Linked DNA regions of Drosophila melanogaster. The protein of the gene in region 1 interacts with the protein of each later gene in a pairwise test. Each region holds a gene or a part of one and is shown on either strand. Other genes may lie near its edges.

Region 1 (3,807 bases):
GATGCTTTTAAATGCTGTTACCTTTACACTACCAATTTTGTTATAGAACTAAAATAATAATCTTTCCAACTGACTTATAATTTGGAACCGTTCTTGGCGGCCAACAGGATATTGAGGACATCGTCGGCACAGCCCCAGCACAAAGTGACTCCACTGCCGCCATGTCCATAGTTGTGGATGAGGAGCTTGCGGCCGCGGCGCTCGGCTTCCAGTCGGAGTTGGGTGCGACCCGGCCGGAGACCTACCCAATCAAAGAGGCACTCCGTGTGCTCCAAACCAGGAATGTACCGCTGACAGCCATCGACGATCATCCGCCTGTCGTTCTGGCAGACTTTAGTGTTGTAGTCCCGCTCCTGATGGGTTCCGCCCAGGACAACACTTTCGGTGCTTAAATATTTCAGATATTGGAATACGAACAAATAAGTGTAACTGGCAAATACTCACTTGGGTATAATATAGTTGCCATCATCACTCTCGTCCAGCACGGCAGAGAAAATCCAGTTGGCCCTCACCCGGGAAACTTGGCCACGCACTGCGTACATTTGATCGTCGTTTAGTAGGGTCTTAGAGCCCAATCCGGAGCAATTGACTATCACATCGTACTCGGAATCGGCTACAAATGCATCCAGGTCTGTAATCCTTTTCCGGACAACAACACCTCCATTTCGGGTGAAACGCTTCATCAAATACGGCAGTAGCTTAATGGGCTCCGAGGTGTAGGTAACAAAGGATAAACCAGACCTAGATATGGTTTAGATATGTTCATATTTCAGCAAGTATAAATCTATGGATATCTATGAATATTCTTACGTGAACTTAACGCTGCGACCTTTATTGTAGGCAGCCAGCTGTTCCTTGGACAGATCCACTGCTCCATAGACAATGTCACGCCAAAAATCTTCGACCGTGTCCACCGTTGAGGTGCTCAGCCGAATGCAGGGTAGCAGACAAACGCCAGCCTCTCCGGCATCCTCGCTCAGCCAGATCTTCTCCAAAAATTGGTGCATGCTCTTCGACCACTTGCTGATGGAAAAAAAGTTATAAGTAAGAATATAATATAGTGACTAGTAAAACTTACTAGACTTTCGCCTGCGAAGTGCCGCCCAGAAGGTACGGACCCCAGAGACCAGCCGAACCATCTCCAGTTGTGTTAGGCGTGAAGTCCTCCGATATGATCGTCACCTTTATGGGTGTCTTTCCATCGTTCACATAGTGTTCCAGTATCTTAATGGCACTGGCAACACCATTAACCCCGGCACCGATAACTGCAATGTTAGGCATTGCTCCAATCCGATCAGCTTGGGAACTTGGAATGAACTGAAAAGAGGATCGCTTATCAGAATTGTAAGCAAATCGCATAATACAATTAGCTGATAACAGAGCTTTTAAAAAGAGCGAAAAAGCTTTTTGCATTTTGAATCTAATATTAACTCTTTCTTAAAATCTAGTAGGCTATAATTCCAACAAGTTGGCCTTGCATTTCATCTCAAACGGAACCGAATATGTGTGTTGGGATGTGTTGATCATTCCTCATTCGATACCAAACTCTCGGACCTTTCGTTTCGGCCAGCTTCTAAATTTTCCAAATTCCAAATTTTTCTTCCAAATTAATTTGACCAAATAGAGTAAGTTTATCCCGGGAAGACCATAGTATATTTTTAAATCCTTTGTCCTGTAGCGCTCGACGGGCTCAAGATGTGTGACGGATGTGGATCGTTGGAGGTGAGTAACCATATGCAACACACCACTGACCACTTGTGACCACTATGTATGCATCCTTTCCAGCCGCGCGGATGCCGCAGTCGGGAGTTACGATGCGGCATCATGTACACCACTTGCGACTGCGTGAAGCGGAACGGTCTGCAGGACAAGTGCCCGCGGTCCGCCTGCCAGGGCCGACCGGCCTGCCTGTGCTTCCCCTTCCCCACCTGCGGTCCGGCGGCATTCCCGCTGCGCTACGCTAACATGATGATGGGCGTGAACAATAAGCGTATGCGCTGTGCCGCCACTGGAGCACCAAATGGCGGTGCCGGATGCGGTGGACGCGTTGCCGGCGGCTGCTGTGGATGCGGTCCCTGCTGCTGTAATGTATCGCCCTGCTGTGGCCCGCACAGTCCTCCATGCTGTGGCTCGCACAGTCTTCCATGCTGTGGCCCGCACAGTCCTCCATGCGGAGCTCCGTCGCCCATTCCTTGCTCCTCTGCTCCGGGCATGTGCTGCCCTCCGCTGCCTGAAGGCGGCATTCCCGATCCGCGTGTCTGGAACTACTATAACGCACCTGTGACGTACCCATGTAAGTCCGGTCCAGGTCCGTCCACCTGTCCGCCTGTCTGTCCGTCTGCTTGTCCATCTGTCACGGCGCTGGGCGTCCGTAGAACGTAAAAACCATGGAGCGGAGGAGCACGAGGCATGCCCAAGGACTTTGCAGGTCACAGCATCTGGAACATGTGCTTGTGGTGACGCTTCATGTCCTTTTGCAGGAGCTTTATGCCCACTACGCTGATCCGTCAACAATGATAGCATGTCCTGGGCTTTGTGAGCGTAGAGGTAGGATCCATGGACCAAATGCTGTTGCCAGGCCCCAAATCCTTCATGACCCTTTGACCTCCATCCGCATCCTGTCGCGTGTAAGTAACTGCGATACCTTCTGCATTCACTGGTTTTACCTTTCTCATCCCACAGGTGGCTTATAAGTATTTCCTGGCAAGTGTTTCGATCGGATCCTGATATGGGCCACTTCCTTGGCGGGACATGTTGTCGTTTTGTGACGTAGTTTTGGTTGATAAAAAATTGAAGTTGGCTTAAATCAAGATTTAGCCAGCTGCGGAATACCCATTACTAGAAGGGCTCGAAGCTATTTGGGAACCCATGTGCAATTCGTCAGACGGTCTTGATTTAAACACAAAATCATATGTTGGTATCTGGAATCTATTTGGCATTAAATTACAAATAAACAAATTGAAATTATATTCTGTGTATTATGGGGGGTGTTAAAGGTTGCGTTTATTTTATGGCTGCACTTATGCTTCGAATATTTATATTTTAAGCCTGGCATTAGAATTGTAAATTAAGGTTGAAACCTTATGCCAAGGCCATAAAAATTTACGTTCATATGTCCCACAGATATTCTGATATTTATATTAATTAATATCAATTTTATTAGGGTGGGTTTCCGTGGCATTTAAGATTTAATTAATTAAAAGTTGAACTTTGCTGATAGTACTTTGTTTTAAACCCATTTTTTCGAGCTGGGAGAGCCATGTTCCAATCTTAGTGAGTTAGTTGACCTAAACAATTCGCGGGTCAAATATTTTGTTTTAGTGAATAAGGCAAATATAGATATATAATTATGTAGATCTGTGGCGATTTCATAATCTTTGCTAAGTCGAAGTAGGCCATGAAATTTCATAAAGTTGGCCATGACTTTTAAGCCAACCCGAACCGAAACTTGAACTGGATGTGCTGGGCCAAGGGAACAGCTAACCTCATTCGATATCTGACTCTCGGACCAGTCGCTTCGACTTCTAAATTTTTTTCTAAATTCCAAATTTACTTTTTCGATAATAACTCAACCAAAAAAGTGAGTGTTAAGTATTTGTTCAAAAAGTATAACATCTTAACTTTTCGCCCGCAGCGTTAGACAAACTCAACATGTGCAACGGATGTGGATGCTGTGGACCCTGTAATGAAACACCCTGCTGTGGCCCCCACAGTCCGCCATGCGGAGCCCCGTCTCCCATCCCGTGCTCTCCTGCTCCGGGCATGTGCTGTCCCCCTCTGCCCGAGGGCGGCATTCCCGATCCCCGT
Region 2 (11,292 bases), on another chromosome or scaffold:
AGAATCTATTCGATTCGGGTATGAGAATAGTAATCTTCACTTTTCAACTCTTGGAATTTAATTTTTAAAGAACGGATCACTACAACTTTTCACTTTGTTATAAAAGGGTATTCCCCGGCTTACCCAAAACAAGCTGGGCGAGAAGAAAACGTAATCCTTGGCCGTACATTTCGCTAGCGCTGCTGGAACTGCATTGAACTTCAAATTGAATGGAAGTGTACAATTTATAAGTCTTTCAGAGCCGCCAGCCGAGCATAAAGTTTATCAAGTTGCGGAAAGTCTGTTGCGGTTTTTAAATTTAACTGATCGCGGGCATGTTATGATTTTCCATCTCCAAGCTATTTGAATAGCTCTGCCCACTATTTGGAGAGCTGGGTCCACACACATGGCACCTTTACACCCATTTCCATCCATACCATCCCATCGAGGAAGTTTAAAGTGACCGCCTTTGAGCCACAAAATATGGTGGCGTTTTTTTTTTAATGGTTCGTTGGCACGCTTGTTTGAACCAAACGGACAGTGTAAAGTGGTCGGTCTGCTCGGGTTTGTTAATGTTTTAAATTTAATTTGCATTTTATGTGCTGCACTACTTTGTAATTGAACCTTAAGTGGCTCTTTTGACGGGATTCAAGGTGCAACGATGCAGGGAAAGCCATTTGAGGGATTACGCTTTCGTTTAGATTAACTAGCCCACGAAATTTGGCAATTTACGAACGGGGGAATTTTCCAATCAAAATTTGAATATTTTTTTAATTGAAAAATTATATAATGCTAATATACCGTAGGAGGCGCAACTGTTATAGGTAGTTGTTGTTATATAATAATATTACATTATAGTTATAATATTTATATATAAATAAATATAAATATATATATATATATATATATATATATATATAAATATTTATATAAGTAAATATACAAAATCCAAAATAAAAAGATATCTATAAATACTATAGTACTTATAGTACTTAAAAAAAGATTGATAATAATAGTTAAGGCGAAATTATCACAATCGTTGCTGTGTATTGGTATTAAAGGGTTTAGAAACAAACATTTTATCAAGGTAAAAATATTATAAGCATATTTTTACCAATGCATACTACAATTGCTGATTCTCCATACTTTTTGAAAACATTTTTTAGACCAGTTTCCATATGTGCGGATTTTAAAACCCTTTGATAACGAACTAACTTATTGTACATTAGTAGTTTCCCCACCCAAGTACCATTATGAATGACACAATTTTTATATAAATTATTTTTTTTTTATTTAAATACATAATTATTTATTACAAATACATAAATAAATAAGTTATGACAAACACTATTTTACAAGACAAAATCGGAACTCGGTGTACAAGATTCGCGTTACAATTAATATCAAAGAAGTGACAAGGTGACGCGACGCCAGTGCGTCTTCAATTGAGCAACAACTGTGAGTAGCTAATGAGTGGGTCAACAAGTGAAGTGAAGGGAAGTGAATCATATATATAACAAAATATAACAGGTATTCAAGGAGACATCCGTAATAACTAAGAGTGATAAATACGATGACGAATGCCACTATCGAAACGATTCGGTCGGTAGTTGGAATGCGAGAGTGTTGAAAGATGGCTTCGGTCAGAAGTGGAAAACGAACTCATCGGAGGAGGTGTCAACCGGAACGGATCCGGTGATATTCGCATGGTAGCCAGTCACCTCCTCCTTGTCAGTCTGCTGATCCGTTAATCATTGATAGCTCTGGGTGATCTGTTGGATCCAGGGCAGGTAGGCGGAGACCTTAACGTAGACGCCGGGAACGTTCACCTGACCACATCCAATGCCCCAGGACACCACTCCGACCACGTGCATGGCTCCATTCCGGTCGCACACCAATGGGCCACCGCCATCACCCTTGCAGGCATCCTTGCCCTCCTCTCCGCCGGCGCACACAAATCCGGGATTCAGTTTGTAGCTATAGCCCAGACGCGTGTTCCTCAGCTGGGACTCGCACTGTTGGTGCGATAGGATTGGCACATCCACCTCCTTCAGAATGTTCTGGTACTTTCCGTGCTCGCCGAAGGCATCCTTGCCCCATCCAGTTGTCCAGCAACGAGCTCCAGTGAAATCGGAATACTTGTCGGGCAGACAGGCGGGACTAATGTGCGGATTCTTGGTGAAGTCAACGGGTTGATCCAGTTTCAGAACGGCCAGATCATTGTCCAGAGTGCCGGCATAGTACTCGGGATGGATGTGCACGGAAACCACATCGCGTTCAATGTAGGGGAAGAACTCCACATCGTGGTTGACATCCCATTCGCCCAGACGCACACGAAGATCGAAGCCATTTTGACTGGATAGAAAGAAGCAATTGGTTAATGCTCTGGTGAAATATACTTTTATGACTCTAGAACTTACGATTTAATGCAATGGGCAGCGGAAATGATGTGCTGGGCATCGATGAGCGTGCCACCGCAGGCGTAGATCGACTCCTTGGGATCCTTCTTCAGAATGGCCACATGCCAGGGATACTCGCCGAACTCACTGTCTCCATCAACGTAGACGGGATTCTTGATGCGACCGGTGATTCCAGCGGCGTTCCTCACTCCACAACGACCAAATTGCTGGGGAGGAGCCTGGGGACGCAGTGGACGACGGCAGCAGACTTCGTTGATGCGGCAGGTCTTTTCCACGGGTCGGTTTCCATAATAGGCACGCTGGAAAATATCAAGGAAGGCAATCGCAATTAGATAAATGTTGGAGGAATGGGTACAATCTTATCTGGATTTGAAATGTACTTTGAATGCCATATAACTTTTCCTAATTACCATCAATGATTTAATCAATAAACAATTAAGAATATTTATAAAATGTGGGGTTCTTTGACTCTTAAAAAGTTTTACAAAATAGTTACATAATTTGGGACTGAACTTCTCATGAAATTTTTCAATTTTGTAGTTATGGACTTTAGTACTCTATTGACGCTTTCGAATGAACTTTAATGCTTTAGCCACACATGGTTACCTGCTCCTTAGGAGCTGCTCCCGCCCACACACCATCCTCAACGCTCCTGCGCCTGCGATCCCGTGGGAAAGTGATCCGATCACTGCCAGCTGCCTCACCAGGAGCCGGAGTGGGAATGTTGTAGAGGGGTCCCAGGTTCAACTGTTTGCCACGACGACCGGAATTCGATGGCCTGTCTGTATCACCACCGCTCACATTGGCACTTCGCTCCACATGCTGTGAGTACTCGCCATAGCCCCCGAAATCGGGACTGGATCCGGGATATATAGAGTTGAAGGAGCTCTCGTAGGGAGACGATTCGTGGTGGTGATGATACTGAACAGAAGGCCCACTGTGATACTCAAATATGGGAGTACTTGGGACCATTTCCACACTGAAATGGAGACCCGGTCCAGTTCCTCCATAGAAATGCGGATACGAGTGGTGGTCATGGTGATCGTGGTGGTCATGGTGATCGTAATCGTGGTGCTCATAGCCACTATAATGATCGTGATGGTGGTAATGTGTACTATACGCTTCGGTGGGCTTCCGCTTAAAGAAGTCTCCCACTTTCTGAATGAGATTCGCATTGGGAGTGACATGCAGATTGACCAGTGGCTTCACCACCTTCTCGCCATATTCTGTTTTGGCCACCTGCACCGATACCAGAGGATTCACATTCACCAGACCCAGATTCAGACCATTTGGACCCACCGAACCGAAGTACGGGTTTTGAGCGGGCACATGATCACCCAGAATATTCGAGGGATAACCTCCATACCCGCCAGTGGGATAGGGCAAACCAAAGCTGACACCGTAGGTGGGCAGCACTTTGCGTTGGATCAGCTCGATGGCCTGGAGAGCGGGCAATGCCAATGGAGATCCTCCGAGCGGGGACTGTCTCTATTTGTTGGTAAGGGGAAAACATAAGAACGCTAGAGGTGGAGTTCCATTTCTGATTGCCGGTTGCAGGTTGCATGTTTCGGGTTGCAGGCGTGCGATCACAAAGGTCGTGCTTGGTTAGCTGGTTTAGTTCTGGGATTAGTGACTGGTCTAATCGGAACCGATTTGCACTCTGGTATTTTAGTTGAGCTTGGAGCGTTGAACGATGGGTGCAGTTGTCAGATTGGTTTGATTTGTTGATTGACTGATTGATTTGTTGTTTGATTTGAATGTGTGTGTGTGTGGGAGGGAGGAGCTTGGCTAAAACTCGATTAGTGGTCCATGTGAACCATGTGTGATTTGGCATTAGTTGGGCACTACTTAAACTAATAGACTTCTATGGACTTACCCCTTGAGCATCGAGTGAGAGATCGCTTGCTTCGTCATCCTTTTGATCAGCCTGGCGGCGGGTGCGCTTCTTGTCATCCTTGTCCGCCTTCTCCTCGTCCTTCTTAGCCTCAGCAGTAGTGGTAGCATTGCTGGATAGAGCATCGTCACTCAGAGCCTCAATGTCCTTGCCCAGGTTGCGGGGATCAATAGGCAGAATGAGATCCTCCTTGCGTCCAATGCGATCGGCAGCGGGACACTGGGAGATGGGCACACACTGGCAGTCGACGATCTGCTGGCGCGAGGTGTCATATCCACTCTGGTACTGACCCTGACCCTGGTAACCACCAGAGATGCCATTGTACTGATTGGATGCTCCACCTTGCAGCTCCTTCTTGTAGTAGTCGGGATTCTGGCTGTGATAACTGGAGCTGGGCGATCCACTGAATCCTCCAGAGGAACTGCTGCCAAAGTTTCCTAGTCCTGAGTTGGGCTTGTAGAGATCTCCAGAGTTTGGTTTGTACAGATCTCCAGTGGGTTTCTGGGAGATTCCAAAACCGTTCTGCGAAAGAAGTCCACCCTGAGAAGCACCATTAAAGCCAGCATTGAAGGCATTGGACTGGGAGTAACTGGATCCGGAAGAAGTCTGAATGGAGGGAGTGTATGTGGCAGATGATTGGGCCAGGGCACTGAAGTCGGTGTTAATGGTCTGGCCAGCTCCGATGGGAATTGGCACACTGGGAACCTTTGCTCCCTCGCCACCTTCAACATGGTGATAATGATGATGCACATGTTGCTGCAGACCATCGAGCGGTGCTCCAACCACCACTTTGGTGCTGGAGGATGTGGCCGAGGCGGAAGAAGCTGAAGACTGCTGCGAGTAGAAACCATTGGGAGCAGAGCTTGCACCCTGGATGCCACCCTCGGGGTTCTCGTAGTTGTATGGAGGAACTCCATTCGAAGCACCAGTAAAAACGGGTCCAGCTCCCAGAGAAGGACCTCCGGTGTAGATGGGTCCTGGTGGCTTGCTGTCATAGATCAGGGCTCCGGGTGGTGGCTTCGTGTAGGTGATACCGTCGGATGAACCGTCAATGGCGGATGGTGGAGGATGCTCCAGGTAGCCACCGGGTCCAGATGGCCTGTAAGGTCCAGACATTGGCTTGTATGGTCCCTCGTATCCCACCTTCCTTGGCGGTCCAAAGGAGTTCACGGAGCTGGGCGGAGGTCCAAAGGAGTTCAGGGAGCTTGGCGGAGGTCCGTAAGATCCAGGAGGTCCACCCATTGGTGGACGACCACTGAAGTAGCTTGGTGGGGGCATGGGCTTAGCCGGACCATAGGGACCACCGCTGAAACCAGATGGTGGTGGGGGACCCTGGGCATAGATGGTCGAGTAGAAGGGACGCTTCTCCTCCACATCGCAGCTCATCAGTCCCAATCCACACAGCTTATCCCGGATAAGATTGCGGGCCTGCATATCGTTTCCCTGCTGCAGAGCCTGATCGATATTGCCATCAGCATAGACGGCATCGTATTCCCCCAGATTACGACCCTCACGGCGGGAGTTGATCAGCTGCTCGATGACCTCGTCAATCTGGGTGGTGCTGTTGCTCTGGATGGACTCGTGGACGAGGTAACGTCCCTGAATGTCAGCTTGTTCGGCGGGCTTGGTATCGACAGATCGGCGACTGGGCATGGCATCCTCCATGGGCGCCCACTCATTTCCCCAGTTGGATTCCTCGGCCAAGGAGGCGGTGGCCAGCAGTACAACTGCCAAAAGGCTAGTTCTTATTCTCATTGTGAAGCCTGTGAAATGATTAGATAGAAAAACTTTAGGATACCAATTCTCTAATATCTACGGATATATTAATCAAGTGATTGATTGACCATCTTTGTCGCCTTTTCTTTTGAGTGGAAAATAAATTAAGAGGTTTAGTCATGATTGGTTATGACATAAGTGGCGAGCTTGACACCATTACCCCAAGTCATTGTGCCAGTTTACATTTCTCCACCTAGCCACCGATCCCTCATACCATCTTTGGCTTAACCAATCCGTAACAAAACCGAATCCGAAGCCCAAACCGGTTAGCATCACGAAATCTTCACCGTGACTCAGACTCTCGTATAAGACTTTTACTTTCATTGGAGGTCGCAGACCGTAGCACTTAATTGCCTGATTTTGTACGTTACTTTTGCTCGAAATGCGAGTCGGGATGGCGAGGGGATCGCTGGCTTCAGGTCCCCGTAATTTATGAGGTAATTTTCCTACAGATTTAGCAAGCCTACGACTGCAATCCCACCGAAGACCATCGCTCAACTTGATCTCTCGCCCTGACAGCCGCTTTCCGCTTCGTGTCTCTTTTATTTGGTAAAATTCACTTTTCTTTTCAGCCTTTATTTTTATGGTCGTTTGCATTGCAGTTATGTCACCGGCTCACAGCGAGGGCGGATTTTGTAAAAGATCGGCTACACTTAACAAAAAAATCAATTATGAATGTAATATTGGTTTAAGGAGTAACTAATAGGATAGCCAGAATTATAATTTTGCCACTCGGAATTATATGCTTAAGTAAGAAGATATATTTATATTTTAAATGATTATGTAAACAGATCTGATTCATCTAGAGCGGCATTACACACTACAATTTCGAGTTATATTTTATTTTTTATGATTTTTTTCAAGTATATATTTTCCAGTTATGTAAATGTATCTTTGGATTTCTTTAGGCCTGCTTTTTCGGCCGGAAGTTGTGCGCAGCGTTGCATTGCAAATTGCCGGCAACTTTTTCGCTTGGATTTTCTTTGGCGAGAAGTGCTCGTAAGCGATGCTAACTGCCGTTTGGTTGGGTTTGGGAAATTTTTTTAGGTTTTTCCTTTGTGTTCGCAGTGAAAGTTTCGCTTGTTCGATTGGCTTAATGACGCGGAGGCTCTTGGCCAAGAGTTTTTATTAAGTGTATGTATGTAGGCATATTTGCAACAACCATAATTTCATGTGCTGCAGACTCATAATTCACATCTAATAGCCATTCATTTAAATTAGTTCGCTTTCGGTTCACTTGAGTTCACTTTGCTAATTTCGCTCACTTCACTCACCTTTTTTGTGTCAAGTTTATTAATCCAATTGGTTAGTTATCACTGTTGTCCGGATAATCCTTATGCAATTTACTGAGTCTCTTATCCTTTCACTTCATTCACTTTCTGCACCGATTGTGCTCTTCGATGCTCTGCAGATCGTTCACTGATTTCGCTTTCGTTGGCCGCGCACATTTTATACAAAAGCTGTGCATGCGCGCCGTCGACGTCAAGCTCCAACGTTTCGCTGTCTCTGTCTGCATTGATTCCGTCTTCTTCTAGCTTTCATACCGCCTTAGTTTGCGAATCGGTAGCCCAAAACAAAAGATACAAAAGCGGCGACGGCGACAATGTTTGGCAACCCCTCTTTTTCGCTGTTAGTGTTGATTTTTCGTCTGGGTTTTTTCCTCAAATCCCCAATTCTGCCCAACTACTGGAGGTCAGTAAACGAGGCGGAAATAGGCGGAAATATCACTATGATAGCTTCATTATCAGTAAGAAACCCAGAAACTATCATCACATTCAACACATCTCTTAAACATAACTGACTGTCTTAAACATCCAAATGGGGCTTTGTTTTTTTTTTTATGATTTTACCAAATTTTAAATAACCAAATTTAGCTTCCCGGAAAGGCGTTGCTTGAGAAACCGGGATTATGCAATTCTGCAATTATGAATTGGGTCAGAGAGTAGCAACCGCTGAATAATAAAAACATCGTGAAAAAGGGTAAAATTGGGCATTGCCTCAAACCGGATCTTTTGGCATACATTCATCTTTCCCCATTTTTTTTTTACTTCATACATCTGCCTCTCTTTTTGGTTGCAGTTCAGTTCAAATCGCCTGGTTTTTAACCCATGGTCAATGCAAACGTCATCGCTCGGTCACTCGTTTCATTTTCGTTTATTTTAACGTTTTTTTTATTTAACCTAGCTCACTGTGAGTAAAAAGCGCTTGGCGGAATTACCCGAAGTTCATAAAAATTAGAGACATTCCCCCCAAACTTATTCACGATGATCACGTTCGCGTGCCACTACCTTAAATCCCAATCATTATCAGGTTTGCGTTTGTGTTGTGTATGGTCAGTGCTGCCCGGCCGGAGTGAGTCTCATTGTGATTCAGTGGCTCCAGTGGCTTCCACTTGTGTTACTGACCTTGGTTCGATGTGCTGCAGTCGTTCATCTAGCCCCCACCTAAGTGGCGTTTTATGTTAAGCATTCCAAGAAAGTTGATAATGACCAACAGAGCTTCGAAAATTATGCTAATCACATTGATTTTTCTCGGGAGTTGTTATTGTCGCCACTCTGGGCTGTTTGCCAAACACCTTTTGGCTATTTGCTCGCGATTAATTCACGAAGTTTTTATCAATCAGCGTAGCGTGTGGCGTAGTTTTTGACCATCGGGTTTTTTATGACTCATACTATCGAGCACTTTGGGCTTTTCGAAGGAGGTGCGACGAACCTTATTTTGCATCGTTTTTAATTCCGTTTGGCTTACCTTTTTTTGGGGGTACATCAATAAGATGGAAATCGATTTTAATACATTGTTAATATAATATCTATAAAGGGTTTTCCGAATGTAAATATCAAACTTATTTAAATGTACGTTTCAGTAACTAATACATCTATTTTCGTTTGTTATACTCTGGTCTGAAAACTAGCATACATGATTAATAACTCATTAGGTCTTAAAAGCTTCATATCTTATTTAAATATAAATATTTAGATAACATTCAAACAACCTGATATTTGCAGAACAATATAAATAATGTGTTGATTTTATACGTTTTTATAAGTTTTAATTTAATCTCATCTATTACAGTGTATCTACGAATGCGGCTAATTGCTATCTACAATGATTTTCCTGATAAAAATAATTTTGGTAGTTAGCTGAAACTTGGCTATTGGTAAATCCCAGTGAGTGATGAACTGAACTTGAACTTGGACCTCGCCGGAGACAACTAATGCCAGGTGGACAGTTTGTAATCCGATGGGGTTACAGGTTCAGGGGCTTGTTATTGGATCTGCATTTCGGATTTGGTATATACTCATATCTATTTATGGTGCGCTCCAACATTTTGCACATTTCTTGGGCCGCACTATTACAACATAGCCTATGTTGATTATGGCCAACTTGTTAATTGTTTGTCCAAATGGATTTGTGTGGGAATCGTGTTTGCTCTACTTTGTTAGCTTCCTCCGACTGAATCACTCTCTCCTTCTCTTTCGCTCACCATACCTTTCTCTCTTATACCCCTTCGCACACCAAATTGTCGCAGTTCAAGTCCAAAAGCAATAAAAAAAAATAAATATTGTCACTGGCTCAAGGCTGAAGTGCCGACTCCCTGACTTAGATTTGTGTCAATTGCTCAACAAGTTGAGGTCTTCCACCCACACGCACCATTTGGCTAAAGACAATTTGCCAATCTCTTTAAGCCAACTACATACATCGTATATCGATTATGGATTTAGAGCTTAACTTTTGAGGGGAAATAAAATCAAAGCAGCACACAAAATTGTAGTAAGGCGATTGAAATTTAATAAGATAGTTAGAAAATATCTTTATATTATATTGGGTTTAGTTTAAGCTCCTTACATTAATTTATAATTATTAATTTGTTAATTTATATATTTTAATAAATTATGAATTTTGTTTTTTGATACATATCAGCGGATATGCACTTTTTCCAAACATTAAAAATAATCATAGACGATTAAGTACTTTACTAATTAACTATATCATTTTTCTGACTTACTTATATATTTGGAACATAACAATTTTTCCAGTGCCTGCAATTGCATTTCGCTTTTTTACTGCATCTGCAATTGTGCCATGGATTTGCCCAAAAAGTATTCGCCAATCCGCCGCTGGAAAATCCCAAGAAAACCGAACTGAAGTTTTTGGTCTCGCATTGTTGGCCTATTCAATTCTTGATTGCCTGCTGCCGGCTTAAACCGCTTTGGGCCTTGGGGAAACCCCATTCAAGTTTGTGGCCAGCATCGCATGGTTGGATTTGTTGGGGGCTTGCATAATAATGCACTCCAGTGCAGTGCAGTGAGCCTATGGCTTATGATTCACATATTGGGAGTCGATTTGTTGTGGCTTCGATTCGGTTTGTGTGCCTGGCATGCGAATGAGTTTGCCGCTTTTGTTTTCGTTGTCGATTCGCAGTGTTATTTGCGAAATGGCTGGTAATAAAATCGATGCGTATGTTTTGCTTTATTAGTTTATTATTGTAATCATCATAGTTGGCCAAAAGCATCAAGGTCGTTCACCCACATTGTGTGATATGCATACGGATTGAATAGAGGGCGGAGTGGGTGAGTCATGTCGCCAGCAGACATCTTTTGCTCCCACTTATTCCCCATGGTTATTACATAATATCCCGAATTATTTCACCCGCATCAAATGCTTTTGCTGCTGCTGCTGCTGCTGCCCTTTCACTACTCTTTTACTGCCTGGCTCATTTAACTTGGCTTATTGTCTTCATCTACGAGCCCTGAACATTTGTAAATTAATTTGAAAACCGTTGTTTGCCACACCGGAAAGTTTTTTGTCTGTTGTCGTTCTCCCCCTGCGCAGATATTTCCGCTTTAAGTAAAAACCCCCTCCTCCGAAAGTTACCCAATAATTGCGCTTTAAGTTAAAACTTCTCGATTACATTAAATATTTAATATGTTTTTTGGGGGCCCAAGTTCTGGGAAAGCTTGATTTTTGCGGTCCTCCACTTATGCTAAGTGGCTTTCCTTTGATTTGCGGAGACGGAATTTCAATCTCCGTCCTCTGGATTTAAGTTATTAAATTCCTTGTAGCACCCCCCGGGATGGCTGGCCCTTTTAGTGCTTAGAGTCGCCAAGATGACAGCATAACGATGCATTCAAATGGCGGTTGTGATAGACAAACAAACCGATTACCCAGCAGTCGAGCACCCAAATCACCCACTGGGCCAATTGAGAATGGCCATGCCATATA
Region 3 (6,795 bases), on another chromosome or scaffold:
GGCCGCACAAATAAGCCGCACCAAAAGTTAAGACCCAAAACAAATGGCTGGGGCTTTGAACTAGGCCCCTGCTCCAAGGCCCTCCGCTGTCGCCGTATTGTATGCAAACAATTTACGGCGCAAATAGGCGGCAAGCGCCACAAGAAGAAGATGAAGTGAAAAGCGAGAAAAATTAGATGGGGATGGAAATGAATGGCGGGGGACTCGCCTCCAGGTGAAGGAACGAGGTGGGATGGGGGGCACGGGCTGTGAATGAAATGACTAGGCGGCGTCCCATGCCTAAAACCAAAACTGAAATGCAAGGGAAGTCTGGAAATGAAAAAGGGAATGAAAATGCAAGCAATAGTTGCTCCAACAAGGACAATTGAAATTCACCACAGGACTATTCCTAGTTGTCTAGGACCACTTCGTCTTCAGGAATGGAATGCGTTGGAAACACACACCACAGTGCTTAGCCGAAAAGAAACGAACCTGAATGCTGAAATATAAATAATCCGTTAGGAGTTGGCCCGCAATGATTCTTCGTTAATCCGCACTTGCTAATTTCAAACACAAGAAAAGGTCGATACATTAAATCCCAGTATTCCCATTGCGATTCAGCTCCAGGATGTTTATTTCTTCGGCAGCAATCCAAATATTGTTTTGAAGAAGCATCAATCCTTGAAGCCGTGAATGCATTGAACTTTTGAGTGGCAATTACTTCGAGCGCGGAGTGGAGCCGCAATTAAGTTAATTAGTATGAAGAAGGTAGTCACAGTCCTTTGTTGTGCTATCTGGAGCCGCTGCCAGCGCAATAAAGTTGATTGCGCCTATAAATATGCAGCACTTGGCTGTGATTATTGCGCGGACTCATGCTTTTCTCTGCTCTCTTCTTTGTGTCTGCCTGTCCTCGCTTGTACTTTTTTTTCTTCTGCCAAATGTATGCACTAATTGTTATTCCTCGCCCGGCTTTGTTCGCCTTATCTTAAGTCGCCTGTGAGACAGACGGAGTTTGGGCTTGGGCTTGGTCCTGATTTGGCCGGAGTCCTTGAGACGCTATCAACTGCTAATAGCTTTGGGATATCTCGCCATTTTTGCTTTTTATGACAATGCTTTGCGGTCATCACACTCTCCCTTTGCACTCAACTTGAGAGGCGTTTATTTCAAAGCGCGTTGATCAGGGATTTCACTTAGATGGGGGGAAAAGAAGATGTTTTTAATGTCTATATTATGACTCTAAACCAAGCTGGGTATACTTGCCAGCAGCCAACCTGTTTCTCGCATAACGTTAACTTATATCCAAGGATGCCGCTTCCCCTCAAGTCAGTCTTCTCTTGACTAATCTGGCTTCTGTTACATCTTCGGTGCACTTGCTGTTCACAATCAGCTTATCTTATCTTACGTTTCCTTCCACTCCATGGTCGCATCCAAGCCAAGCGAATCCAATCCAAACCATTCCATTCATCAGGAGCGCTCTAACTAATAGTGGGCGTGACGTGAGCAAACCTCCATTGCCTGACAGACGAGGAACCCGCCTTGTCTGTCGCTCTTGTTTGGCATTGTTAATCTTTAACCTGAGTCCTAATCCGTGCGTCATGATTGAAAGCAGCTGCAAAATCGCTGTGTGGCTCCTGTGGCTTCCTCCTCAGCTTTTACCTATGGAGCGAAAAAACGAAGTTGTCGGCGAACGAGAGGGGGCTGGAAAATGAGGCGCACTGGGAAAACACAACGCACATGACGTGATGACGACGACATCGTCTAATCTGATTGCCCTGATGTATTCGCCCTGTGCCAATTTGTGTCAATTTCGATGGCGACCGAGAGCAAGAACTTTGCCGCTCTAAGCTGAGCTGCCTTCGACTTTGCCTAGCTGCTAATTAGTTCAGCCAGGCGGGGATGCTGCAAGTGCCGGCGCAGGTGCAGCAGTCGCCCTTGGCACATTAGACGTAATGAGAAGTCGTCGGCAGCAGTGGTAAAACGCCCCTCTAATGGCTCCGCAGGCAAAACACTTGCAAAGGAAGCTCAAAATTGTATTATTATTACTTTCGCGTGAAACTGTGGAAATAGGCGCTGTGCTGCTTGTACTCCCATTTGGGTTTAAGGTGGAGTAATGGGTATCTGATAGTCGGGGAACTCGACTCCAGCGTTCTCTGTTGGAAAATGGGCCTTTTGCTAAGACATTAAGCATACGCAGAGTAACAAAAACATGTAGTCCTTGCTGGACCTGATTTTTCTCACTGCATGCATGTGGGGGATAGGTTAAAGAGAAAATGGAAATTGCGGGAATGGGAATGGTGAATGGTGAATGGGAGAGGGGAAACGCGCAGTGCAGTGCCGTGGGGCAAACTCAATGCCGGCCCAGGCCTCCCATGTGTGTTTGTGGCAAGTTAATGACACACCTTAACCCATGTTAACCTAGTTTTTCATGTTGTGGTTATTCTTGTCGTGCTTGTTCTTCTTTCCACTTGACCCAAAGCCCAAAAAAAAAAAAGGAGAGTGGTGTGGAGAGGATGTCGGTGCGTATGGGCCTGGCCTTCATGCGGTTGACATGAATTTGACTGTGGCATGATTGGCCTACTTTCTGTCTTTTGCTTGCGCTCTAGGCTTTTTCGCATAAATAAGCTATTTGTGACCAATTTGCATTTTCCGCGTTATATTTCTTAACTGACACAATAAAAAGTTCGAAAGGCGAATGACGGCAGAATAGGAAGAGCTATAGCAAAATCCAACATATAAACAAACAATGCCCAAAGGGCAGCATAGATCTAGGGTAAGATCAGCATAAGAAAAAAATGGAAAAATGGACCGAGTGCGTTTAATTAGTCACATTCCGACATCATAATACCTTTAATAAAGCAACCAACTTAATATTAACAAATGGGGACCATAAAGTGTGAAATGTGGAGCGGGAGTCCTCAAAGGACCTGCGGATGGCAAGCAATGGCCTTCATTTATTTTCCTCAGCCGCAGCTGCTGCTTCTTTCTCAGCTTGTTAAGCATAATTAAAATCACAGAGCGGGATGGAGAGAGGCGCAGAGAGCCAGGGAGGAGAGGGACAGAGCTAGTGAGTAAGTGTGATTAAAAGATTGCAAATTTCTCACTCTTATTCATTTTTTTTAAGCTCTTCTTTCTGGCCAAATTGAATTTTTCGTTGCAGCAGACAGCGAGTGAGTGAGTAGGACAGAGCAGAAATGCATTGAACTGATCAGGGTAGTAACAGCACCATGTAGAATCGAAACTTTATTCACGTTAAATCCCCAATTATGTTGGTCTAAATAATGCTTGGTATTAAATAGTAGTATTCCCTGCAGAGGGCTCAAAAGTGTTTTTTTTTTTTGTTTTTGTGGAACGGAAGCCACCTCGCAATTCGACTTTAATGAGTAAACAGGGCGTGCAGACGCTATGCAAATGCTTTAGTCCCATTGAATTTGATGGCCGCGCATAAATGTAATTATAATGTGCATTCTATACAGCAACAAACATAAATGCATAAGTGCATAAATGCGCGCGCGTGTGTGTGTGGACAGTGGATTACGTAATGCCGATGCAGTGAATACGATATAATGTGCTATGCATAATGCATGATCGCACTCCTTAATCAACGCCAAACAAGCGACATTTAATTTTAATTTTAATTAATTTTGTCATTTGCTTTTTACACCGATGACGATGGATTTACCGGAAAACGAGCGAGTCTGTAATCCATCCATTTTCGAATTCTGCTGTGGACGCAGCTGTGCTGTGGATTGTGGGGCGTGGGGCTTGGAGCGCGGATTTGTGAACGCGTGGATGCCTGGGGCTGTAGAAGTAGTAGGGTAGTATAGTAGTAGGTGGGCCTCCGATATCGTCAGTGCTGCGAAATCAGCTGTCGGGCGAGCACCGCATAATCAGAGGTGGGGATGTTTCTGGGCTTCTTGGTGGATCTGCTGTACTGCCGACGCTGCGGGGACGACTGTATGATGGAATTCCCATCGACTTCCGCGAATGAAGAAGCAGCGCCGAAAGTGGTAAAGGTCGAACTGCCGCCGCTGCCGCCACTGACCTTTGAACTCATCCGCAATCCATTGGCTGCCGACCAGGAGTGCGATGATAGCTTCGAAGGCTTCGTCGATGGTTATGATGATCCCAGGCTGCCGGAAACCATCATCTGATTCAAAAAAAGCTTGCCACTCACTGGCATTCCGCACTCCGCTTCATTTGGTTTAATTAAAACTCTTTTTGCCATAATCCAATTAAGACCAAAGGCAAAAACCAAATGACAACAAATGGCATAATGGCCAGACAACAAAACAGACGGCAAAAAATAGAAAAACTCGACAAACTCAAACAAAGCTCCGCACAAAGCAAAAAAAAAAAAACTGAACAAAACAAAATGCAAACAAACAATGCAATAAAATTCAATTACAACAAAATTTTAATTAACTTTTTGCAATCAAAACACAAACCAAATGAGGAGACAACTGGCATCCGAATTGAAAGCCAATAAAAATGGGCGTAATAACCTAACCAATCTACAGGTCATCGATGGACAGGAGAGGGTTAAACGAATCTGACAAAGGCTGTGTACGTTAGCTTCAAATGGGATAGGATTACTTGAGTGTATCATGTTATGTGTGCAAAAGTTTAAAAATGTATATGCACGCACATATGGTAAATGTTTGGATTCGATTGGGAGCACCAAAGAACCAGGCACAGTTTTCCAAACAATAGAAACTACTCGTAGTCGTGTGCCAACTATCGGATACCTTATAGTCTGTATTAAAGTTTGTTATTGACTTATTTACTCTACGAGTACTGATGGAAATGAGTATAAATATGAAAATATTGTTTGTAAACTGTTAAAATGTTTTATTTCGTTTTGTGGGGCGGTAGGTCGCATTACGTATACGACGCGCAGACCACAGAGTAATACGTTTCTAAAGCAAGTTTGCAGTTGCACTGTTTCATTGTTGACCTATCAATTGGGCTCTTCTTCCGGTCGTAGCATACAGTCAGTGTGAACTCGTTTCTTCCAAAGCAATTCCGAGTCGGATAAGACACAGCTACTGCAGCCCATCAAGATCTGCTTCCATGCTCCTTGCAGCATTGTCCACCCACCCTTTAAGACCTCCTATATATTCACATCTGTATCGCAATCGCGAGAAAGACAACTTTTAGTGCGACATTCGCTGGAAACTTTCAGCAGAGCGGCAAACGACACCTAAACCGACTAATGGGCAAAGTCACCTCCTTTGGCAGTAGTGGCTTCGGGGGTTTACTTCACCCATTGTGAGCCATTTGTTTGCTGGAATTGCATTCGTGGCTGCGAAATAACATTTTCCGTTTCCGTTCTTGTTGCGACTGCGTGCCACATTTGTAAAACTTGTGTGTTTAAGTCTGAAGTGTCTGAAGGAAAGTGGACCCCCTCCCCAACCCCCCTTGGCACACCACCAGCAATTAATGCCAAATGTTTTCTGCTTTAGGCCGCCGCTTCATTTCCTTCCAATTAAGTCGCCAATTGGCAGGCCAGAACGCCCCTGATTAAACAGGTGTACGGATGAGGACGGCCAAATCCGGTAAAACCTTCGCAATCTTTCACGCACGCAAGTCGAACCGAACTTTCTGCCTTTTCAGCTTTATGTTTAATCCAATGGTTTGGCCAAGTTTCGTCGCAGCGCCGAACACCAGCCAGCCATCGCATGCAAGTAAATTGTCCATATAGTCAAGTCAGGAAAATGTGTAAAATGTATTTATTGTGTTCGACTTTTAGCGGAATATGCGGGATCACATGTTTAATGTCAATGCCGAAATCCCAAACAATTTCCGCCTAGAACTGGTCGGGAATATTTCGAACTGAACCAGATGACCCGGCGTCTTGGAAAGATCTGCCAAAAATTCGATCGTAGCGCTCCAAGGCTTCGTAGGAGACCCGTGCTGACCGCAATGAGGGACGAAGGTAGCCCGTTGATGGAGATCCAGCTGAAGGAGGAGGAACTGGAAACGAATCGTGTCGCTGTGGCATAGAAAGATCGTTCCACTTGCGGGTCTGCTCCTGTTGGAGCTGCAGATCGGGCGCCTCATCGTCCAGGTCAGCGATATTCCGCCGATGGGTGGTGCTGGTGGAATCCGTGTCGGAATTTCCCTGGGCCCTGATACAGGCAAACAAGTCGCTTAAACTAGAGCACATATTTGTTGCTTCTGGGCGAGTTTGTCGGTGGTTCCACCCTATTTATAATCGTGCAGCTATGCAGCTGTTTTTGGCAAAGGGAATGGCTCAGCCAATTAGTACACTAAGTAGACTTAGTCATTACCAAGCGACCAAGCGAACAAATAAAAACACTTCCTAACAATGTTGGAAATTTTAGACGGTACTTGTACTTCACATTTGATTGGATATGCAGTTAGATTCTCCTTTGAGTAGAGGAGTACGAGTATACTCCTCAAACAGCTTAGCAAAGGTTAACTCAGACTGAAGAGATGTATGAAAGCTTACCATCAAGTCAAGCTGACGTTTCCTGCCACTTCCGCTCCGCCATTCATCATCGGTAGAGGAGGCTTCTTCATATTTCGCACAGCAATTTGACGTCCATCAATCAATGGGCTCCACACCCCCGTCCGCCCCCTTAACTGAGTGGCCACTTGAATGGCATAAAAAGCGGAAATTAATGCACTTAAGACATTCAAAATAGACGGCAGTCGATCTCTTGCGCGCTTCAAGTGGACCCCTTAGCGACGTTTAACCATCTTCCTCTACGCCCTTCCTCCCTTTGGACTCTTGGGTTCCGTAGGCCACTTTGGTGATTAATTGGACGGGAATTCCTCGAGGGCTATTTCCGC
Region 4 (8,259 bases), on another chromosome or scaffold:
ACGTTTAATCGATTCATAGATGCGATTCACGATGCTTCCCGATGTCGATGCACTGCCGCCGTTAATCGTTTATGCGATGCTCTGGATAACAATCAACAGTAATTCGCGAATTAGCGAGCGAAGAATACGCGAAGGATGATGGATTTTAGAACTAACCTAAATGATGGATAATGCTGGTGTCCCCATGTTTCACTAAAACCAAACCATGTTCCTATGACTGCTGCTTGATAATGCCCTGCTCCCCCGTCTGTATTCATTATCCACAACCTTAGGTATAAGATGCTCCATAGTCTTTAGCAACCATTATATGATAGTTTACCTAGTAAATCGTATGCCAATCATCAGATTGAACTGTACTATGCCCACCCAGCCCATGTGGAAGTTAAAGATTATTGTAGAAAACTATTTAGGTCACCTATAAATGTTGGCAACGCCTAAGAATTAAGCTAACTACTCAGCTAGAGATCGCAGAAACCGAAACAATTGCGATAATTGATAACTAAGTGTTCATGGCAAATTTTGGGGTGTAACTAAACGTTTAATAAACGAAAAGTAAAGCAACTAAAGCTGCAGACAAATCAAAGAACCTTTATGTAGCGGCTAATTTCGACATGTGTTCGGTGTAAACCAAACAAAAACGAATCACAGAACACTAGTTAGTGACTATTTTCATTTCAGTTACGTACTTAAGTATATATATTTGTGCACCCGTGTGAGTTGGCGTTAGTTATGTGTTATGTGCTTATGTATGTTTGCTTTGTTTGGCTCAGTTCGGTTTGGTATGCAGTTGTGGGGCATGTATTGAATTGCAATTTGCGATTTGAAATTGTAGCCATGTAGTTACGCTAACCTACCTTCTCGCCCCCGCTGTTTCACGCCACCCAAATGGTTTTTCATTTCAACAACAACCTTTTGTTAAAGTCACCGCTGTCGCTTTGTTTGTTTGCTATTTGTTTACTTCTATTTCTATTTTTTGTTCATACCAATTTCTTTTTGCAGATATTATTTAAATGTAACAGAATACATAAGCAAAGCGTTGAAATAATATCTATTGTATACCAAAACCAAAAATATCTATGATAACAAACAAGCAAAGGCAATTAAACCGATCCGTAAACTGAATAACCGATTAATAACTGCAGCCGCTCAACCCGAACCGCAATAAATAACTATCAAGTAAAGAATAGAACAACTTAACAATGAAAAATGCAATATTCAATATGCGAAATGACAAATGCCTAATGCCAAATGCCAATCCAAATAACCCAATAACCGATTCAAGTGCGAGAACAGAAATGCCACACCTCTAACCCAGTGCACTTGCTCTGTCTGCTCCGCTGGGCAATCAAACTAATCGCCAATTCATATTATTATTAAGGTAACTAACCCAGATTAGAACAGACACTCGAACACACGCACACACCAGCCACCAACACCACTTGGCACATCCTAGTCATATCATCAACTTCCATCGCTCATCTCCACTTCCATTTCTTTATCCACTGGTCATGTTTCGTTTTCATTTGCTTGAAAAGATCCAGGCGAGATCCTCCTTTATCCACAACACCGTCACCTCATCTCGATTATATATACATATAAATATATATATATATGTTCTGAAATATATATTTCCCAACTCGGAGCCACCTTATTTATCATTGTACTAACCCCAAATCCTTGGAAGGATTTAAACCCACTTGAAATAAAGATATACAGTCGATTAATCTCGTTCTACACATAATTGCAGGCTCCACGGCTCTGGGCTTCTACACGCCCATGAAGGGCACGGCGATGGACAACCTATTCCAGCTGGGTGTCACCCGATACGCCCTGCCCGAGAGCAGCAGCAGTGGGAGCAGCAATGGCAGCCACAGTCCAGGCAGCAACGGGAGCAGTCCAGCCGGAGCTGCGGGCAGCCGGTTGATGTTCAACGGGAATGGCAGCATTATGGGCATCGGCGAGGGACTGATCAAGGAGGGCGACTTGGCGGCAACGGAAGCAGGACCTGGAACTGCAGATGGAGCAGGTGCCTCCAAGAAGGGTTCAGCTGTGGACGAGGATGATTACCATCTGACGGCGACGCCGGGCGCCGAAGTTGTGTACAGCGAGGGTACACAGAAAACGGATTTGCTATATTAGGTCGTCCTGCCAGCCAAAAAACCGGAGCGTCTAGCTCTTTTTCTACCGGTTTCCACCAAACTCCAAACCTTCCGAGCATAACAACCTACCACATCCTGATCGTTCCCCTAATTGAAAAGCGTGCACTTAGGTGAAATATCAACTTCGGTTAGACGCGAAAACAGTAACGAAGGAAAGAAAAATAAAAACAACAAGGCAACGTAAACCAAGTATGGCAAGAAATCCATAAAGATACGTATATAAATAGATATTATTTGTAAGTTTGTAAGCCTAGAGATCCGATGTGTATGTGTACAACAGCAAGCGTGTGTGTCTGTCTTCTTTATAAATATATATATATGGTTTTTTTTTTTTGATAAATTAATAATTATATTATTGTAATGTATCTACATACGGCACTGAATGAACAACTTTGCTGCTGCAATTGTATTTGTATTTGTATTGTGTATTCCATTTACGGCATTTTGATAGTAAATATACAACAACAACAAATCAACGTATTTCCGACTGCATCCCGAAGGTTACTGAAACCTTAATCCACGAAGTACGCGACGAGCGGTTAGTCCCGCCCGAGTATTAACTTAATGGATTCTAACGATCCGATCTTGTGACCCATCATCATCCCTTTTCGCGACCCTTCCAAAACGAAAATGAAGAACATTCTAAGCTCCGCTTGCCCATTCAGCGGAAGAAAGCAAAGGAAAATGTAACATTTGCCTCATAATTATTATATACATTTAGCGCTTATTGAATATTTTTTACAATTGTATTCCGTAAATAAATATAAAATACATCAACATCTAGTCGCGTGTTTTAAGTTAAAGGAAGTTAAGGCCAAAGCAAAATGTTAGCAACAGTTTTTGTTAAAAGTTAACATATATAATAATGGTAATTTAAATATTCAAATCTATGAAGTGACTTATTTTATAAGTCCACTTATGTTTGTTATATTTAATTGGTATTTAGAAAAGGATTCATTTTAAATTAACACCGTTGAGGGTTCAATTTTGGTAGTGCGTCTTTGCTAACCATGCCGAGTGGGATCAAGTCCTTGCTAAGTTAGGATGTTGTCTTAGCTAACTGTGCCATCCCTGGTCGGGGTGTGTCTTAGCTAACAATTACGTGTCGATAGATATAATGCTATCGATATGACAGAGTGTCGGGAACAATCGATAGCATTACTTCGATATCGGTACTAGTGCCACCTCCAGTTTTGTGATTGTGTCAAAAATACAGGGTTTTATTGTTGCACTAGCAATTTAATCCGAGGAATATAAATTTTGTGTGGAGTTATGTTCGAGACGTCGTTGCCAGCGATTCAAGAGGCGAGCGGTCACACGTGTATGTGTTTCACTGGCGGTGCGGGCGCCAACTCCGCCAAAAAGCGTACTACTTTTAACCTTAGTTGACATTGAAATGTACCCGCTTAGTTGGATGTCCACGATGGTGCGTGTGTGTGCGTATATGTGTGCTATGCGGCGTCTGTGTGCGCGAGTGTGTGTGTGGGATTGCAAAGGAGGATGGGAGAAACGAGAGCAGAGCAAAAACAAAAACAAAAGGAACCTGCTGCACATAGTCGGTGCATGCGAGCGTGCTTATGTGTGTGTGCGTGCGTGCTAGCAAAACAACTGCAAGAAATCAGCAACAGTAGTAGAAGAAGAGAAGCTGTATCACTGATAAGGAGGCTAAACAACAACAAAAACAGCAACGATAATGTGCACCCTTTCGAAATGCAAACAAAACAAAGCGTTGTAGTTGTGTAATCATTCGTTGTGAACACACCACACACACACACACACACAACACTTGTTTAATAATACATTTTAATTCTATTATTTTTGATTTAATTTTTGCCTGTTATTCAAATCGATCTGTGTTTTTGCAGTTGGCATTCGTTATTAATTAAATCAGCCGCCAACAGCTGAGCGAGAGAGCAATCGAGAGCGACAGGAGAGGATCCACTTCCAATCGAATCGGGTGGAATCGAATAGCAGGGGCTTGGTAATTAAAAGGAAGACCGAACTGAACTGAACTAAACTGAAACGGAACGAAGCGAAGCGAAGCGCGGCGAGGCGGCAAGAAACGAAAAGAAAAGAACGAAAGTCGGCAGAGTCGGAAAGTCGGCAAGTCTGATTGTCGGCAAAGTCGCAAAGTCGGAGAGTCACAGTCTCAATCGCAGTCGGCGAGAGATTCCACTCGTGTCGCACGTCCGTTCGTTTCCACATTGTCGTTATAAAAATAGCAACGCCTTAAACGATCGCATCAACCTCATCAACAGAACACCACCAGAAATCACCGCCCCCTCCTACGCCTCAATCGCCATCGCCACCGCATCCCATCCCCATCATCTTCATTAGCAGGCAGCCTGACAGAGTAACTAACTGATCTTGATTGCGACCATAATCACCGTCATCATCATGTAATCCTTCACTAACCAATTGATTTCCGCTCGTCCACCAAATAGATTCCAAACTGCCGTTTCGGCAGCCGGCAAGATTTCACGAAATCTAATGGCCAAGGACGAGGAGGATGATCTGCTGCCCGACAAGGATGCGGCCAAGGGCTTCTATGCCAAATACGAGCCCAAGGAGATTCTGGGCAGGTAAGAATCGAACTACACTTGCCGTGATCTCAAACCTCTTATTAAATCCTTTTAAATTCAGTTGAAGTATTATTGATCCTGCACTTAACCATTCAAATACGTTTCTTTCTATTTACTTTGCGTAGTTAATTTTGCAAATTTAAGATCATAGAAACATTGATACTTGTATCCTCAGAAATCACTAGAACGTCCAAATATTGATTGTTTCTGCTTTCCCAACCTCTTACTGCCAAGTCTGCAGTAATGCAGTTTGGGCTAAATGGTGCCAAGTGAGTCAGCCTCATCAAGCTTCCATGGCATGGAGCAATGGCATGGGCTGCTTTTCAAGCGGCGCCTGTCTGCCGGCCTACTCACGCCACAACGAAGATCAGAATTTGCCAAGCAAATAGCAGAGACTAAGCGAAAACAAGGGCTAATTACATATTACAATTCTAGGGATTAGAGATTAGATAAATACCCGATCATGGCAATGTCAAGTGCAGCAGAAGCAGAGCTCTTTATCTACATGCAATGTTTGTCTTACAGGGGCATCAGTTCGACCGTGAGGCGATGTATCGAAAAGGAGACGGGCAAGGAGTTTGCCGCCAAGATCATCGACTTGGGCGCCACCACAGAGTCAGGCGAGACGAATCCATATCACATGCTGGAAGCAACCAGACAAGAAATCTCAATACTGCGCCAGGTCATGGGGCATCCCTACATAAGTTAGTCTCACATAGCACCCACATGTACTTAATTCCACCACTAACCATCTACATTATCGTGCACAGTTGATCTGCAGGATGTGTTCGAGTCAGATGCATTTGTTTTCCTCGTCTTCGAGCTGTGTCCCAAAGGTGAACTCTTCGACTATCTGACCTCTGTGGTGACGCTATCCGAGAAGAAGACGCGCACCATTATGCGACAAATCTTTGAGGGCGTCGAGTACATACACGCGAAGAGCATTGTCCATCGGGATCTTAAGCCCGAGAATATCTTGCTGGACGAGAACCACAACGTTAAGATCACGGATTTTGGCTTCGCCAAGCAGTTGCAAGAGGGCGAGAAACTTACAAGTAATTATAACACAGCATCCTTCTGTATTCGCTAAGCTAAACTATATGTACTTTCCCCCTATTAGATCTGTGCGGAACGCCGGGTTATTTGGCTCCCGAAACGCTCAAGTGCAACATGTTCGAGGGATCCCCCGGCTACTCGCAGGAAGTCGACATGTAAGAGCGAATAAACTAGCCACTTATTATTACACCTTTTTTTGGCTCACTTAAATTATAGAAGCAATTTAAGCACAAAAAGTATCACATTTATTGTAATACGAATTGTCTGCTCAAATTACTAAATTGCTTATGTTAACAGCTAATTTTATTATTAAAAATTTTTGCTTACATAAAAAAAGAAAGGTCTAAACTTTTGTATCGATATTAGACCCGTTTTCCTTTTTTTTTTGTTTTATAGACGCAAATTTTGCTGATACATTTCATTAACTAGTGTTCCTCGTGTCAGGCGATTTGTTTTGATCTTTAGGTGTGCATTTTAATGAATGAGTCAGAAGCAGAAAGGCATAATAATCTGAAATCTGAGTAGTTCCGATACCGACGTCTATATTTCTTCGGTTCAGCAAAACGTAGGGCTTTTTGTATTTTTGAGTTCTTTAACGTTTCCCACTGGTATCTACGTTACTTGGTTTCAGCAGAAATTTTTAATAGGAAAAATTGACACCTTTTACCCATTTCTTTTTCGATTTCTTTTTGTTGTTCGCAGATGGGCCTGTGGCGTGATTATGTTTACGCTGCTCGTCGGTTGTCCACCTTTCTGGCACCGCAAGCAGATGGTCATGCTGCGGAATATCATGGAGGGCAAGTACAGCTTCACCTCGCCGGAGTGGGCTGATATTTCAGGTTGGTCAAATTGATATGCACATGCCAAACGTATGCTTATTTACTTGGTTTCGATTGATTGCAGAGGATCCCAAGGATCTGATACGCAAATGTCTAGTCGTTGATCCTTCGCAACGTATAACCGTCAAGGAAGTATTAAGACATCCATTCTTCAACCAAATGGTAAGTGCCGGAATTGTTGGCAGCCGCCGGGCTCCAATTACCACGACCACCACCACCACCACTACTACAACCGCCTGTACAAGAGGAAAATCAGTCAAATTAGTTCAATTAGTCGCCAAGAATGAGGTCCGCCTACGAGTCGTCTTTTGTGCTCGGGCAGCAGTCTATAGTTTTCGGGTTCCTGTTCTTGTACATAGATACTAGATCTCTAGTTGATGGGTTTAACCTCGGGTGGGTTAATCTTCTACACAACCAATCCACCAAAACAACCAAACACCTGGCCCTGCAAATGTTTCTAAACACAACGTACATCTAAGAACACACACTCTGATGGAAAGAACACCCACCTGTGACTCACAAACCAACCACTCACAACAGCCTATTAACAGCTTCTTCTTACTGTTACCTCCTAAAAATACGATTATGATTTATAATTCGGTTAGGGTAGCAGCCTAACCCCCCGTAGTTTAGTTCAATTGTCAGATTTATAGCCTGACAGGATCAGTCATTAGTTTGGATCCCCCGCCCCCCTTAAAAAGAAAAAGAAAGGAAAACCCTTCGGAACCTCTTGCGTTTTGTTAACTTTTTATTTCTATGATTACTATTTATTATACCAAACATTTTCTTTCTTCTTTTCCTTACATATAAACTATATATCAAATCGAATCCAATTAATTTTAAACGAACCCAAACGAACGATAACGAACACACACTACCATCGATAGCTGTTCGAGCAAAACATTGATGGCCTCAAGCGCAGCCTGTCGACCAAGTCCCGACGAATGAGTCGCATCACTGAGATCGCACTGGTAACGAACCGTTCCCGGACTAACCCAAGCTCTCTCTATCTCTTAATCTCTCTGTGCTGTGTGTCTCCGTGTTCATATATTGATATCGGAGCCGTAATCGTAATCGCTCTAATAACGATTATCCCGATAATCCTGATAATCCCGATAATAAAATCAAGCAATCGGGCCGGCAGACCCAACTCATGACCATATGCAACCCTGCCGGCCCAGCATTCGTGTGTCTGTTTTCCGTTGCATTCTGTTCTGTTTCGTTCTGTGCCGATCTAATATAACCCAGCTAAACTGTACATCATAGTGCATATCAATTGTATACTATACATACTTATTTATTTAAAATCCGTTCAGGTCATCTGTGCCAAGCATAATAACTTTTAACCGGCCGGCAATAGCCAGCGAAAAACGAAACAAAAACGAATACGTACCCGATCTGCTTCGTTTTTGTTTGCATCTGATTTGATTTGCTTGTCGACTGATCGATGCACCACAATGATAACAAAAAAAGAATATATATATATACATATATATAACCCTTCTCTATAATCCCATTCCTTGTTGTACTCGATGTTTTTTTGTCGATTTTGTGTGTTTTTTGTACAAATCAACCGATTGCCTCGATAACTAAAAACGATAACACACGTCTGCAGCTCTGCGC

Evidence for each region.
Region 2: the proteins of CG17377 (region 1) and CG4998 interact in a two-hybrid assay, tested with the Drosophila melanogaster proteins (one large-scale study listed by BioGRID).
Region 3: the proteins of CG17377 (region 1) and CG3713 interact in a two-hybrid assay, tested with the Drosophila melanogaster proteins (one large-scale study listed by BioGRID).
Region 4: the proteins of CG17377 (region 1) and PhKgamma interact in a two-hybrid assay, tested with the Drosophila melanogaster proteins (one large-scale study listed by BioGRID).

Annotation. Positions count from the first base shown.
Region 1 is NT_033779.5:6,800,526-6,804,332, reverse strand, and holds CG17377 (uncharacterized protein), read left to right. Parts: upstream 1-1,543; 5' UTR 1,544-1,625; intron 1,626-1,678; 5' UTR 1,679-1,695; coding exon 1,696-1,722; intron 1,723-1,785; coding exon 1,786-2,382; 3' UTR 2,383-2,480; coding exon of another isoform or gene 2,481-2,482; 3' UTR 2,483-2,625; exon of another isoform or gene 2,626-2,627; intron 2,628-2,682; coding exon of another isoform or gene 2,683-2,693; 3' UTR 2,694-2,955; downstream 2,956-3,807. Other genes in the region: Daao2 (D-amino acid oxidase 2), read right to left, coding at 75-387, 445-741, 811-1,023, 1,079-1,281; CG17376 (uncharacterized protein), read left to right, coding at 3,652-3,807.
Region 2 is NT_037436.4:16,335,200-16,346,491, reverse strand, and holds CG4998 (uncharacterized protein), read right to left. Parts: upstream 7,490-11,292; 5' UTR 7,344-7,489; intron 6,057-7,343; 5' UTR 6,049-6,056; coding exon 4,276-6,048; intron 3,888-4,275; coding exon 3,006-3,887; intron 2,699-3,005; coding exon 2,400-2,698; intron 2,335-2,399; coding exon 1,731-2,334; 3' UTR 1,251-1,730; downstream 1-1,250. Other genes in the region: CG33257 (uncharacterized protein), read right to left, coding at 124-169.
Region 3 is NC_004354.4:844,187-850,981, reverse strand, and holds CG3713 (uncharacterized protein), read left to right. Parts: upstream 1-3,824; 5' UTR 3,825-3,878; coding exon 3,879-4,130; 3' UTR 4,131-4,811; downstream 4,812-6,795. Other genes in the region: CG14635 (uncharacterized protein), read right to left, coding at 5,786-6,145.
Region 4 is NC_004354.4:11,691,800-11,700,058, forward strand, and holds the start of PhKgamma (phosphorylase kinase gamma), read left to right. Parts: upstream 1-3,337; 5' UTR 3,338-3,480; exon of another isoform or gene 3,481-3,585; intron 3,586-4,024; 5' UTR 4,025-4,512; intron 4,513-4,603; 5' UTR 4,604-4,649; coding exon 4,650-4,741; intron 4,742-5,266; coding exon 5,267-5,445; intron 5,446-5,511; coding exon 5,512-5,796; intron 5,797-5,861; coding exon 5,862-5,952; intron 5,953-6,499; coding exon 6,500-6,636; intron 6,637-6,700; coding exon 6,701-6,798; intron 6,799-7,523; coding exon of another isoform or gene 7,524-7,607; intron 7,608-8,259.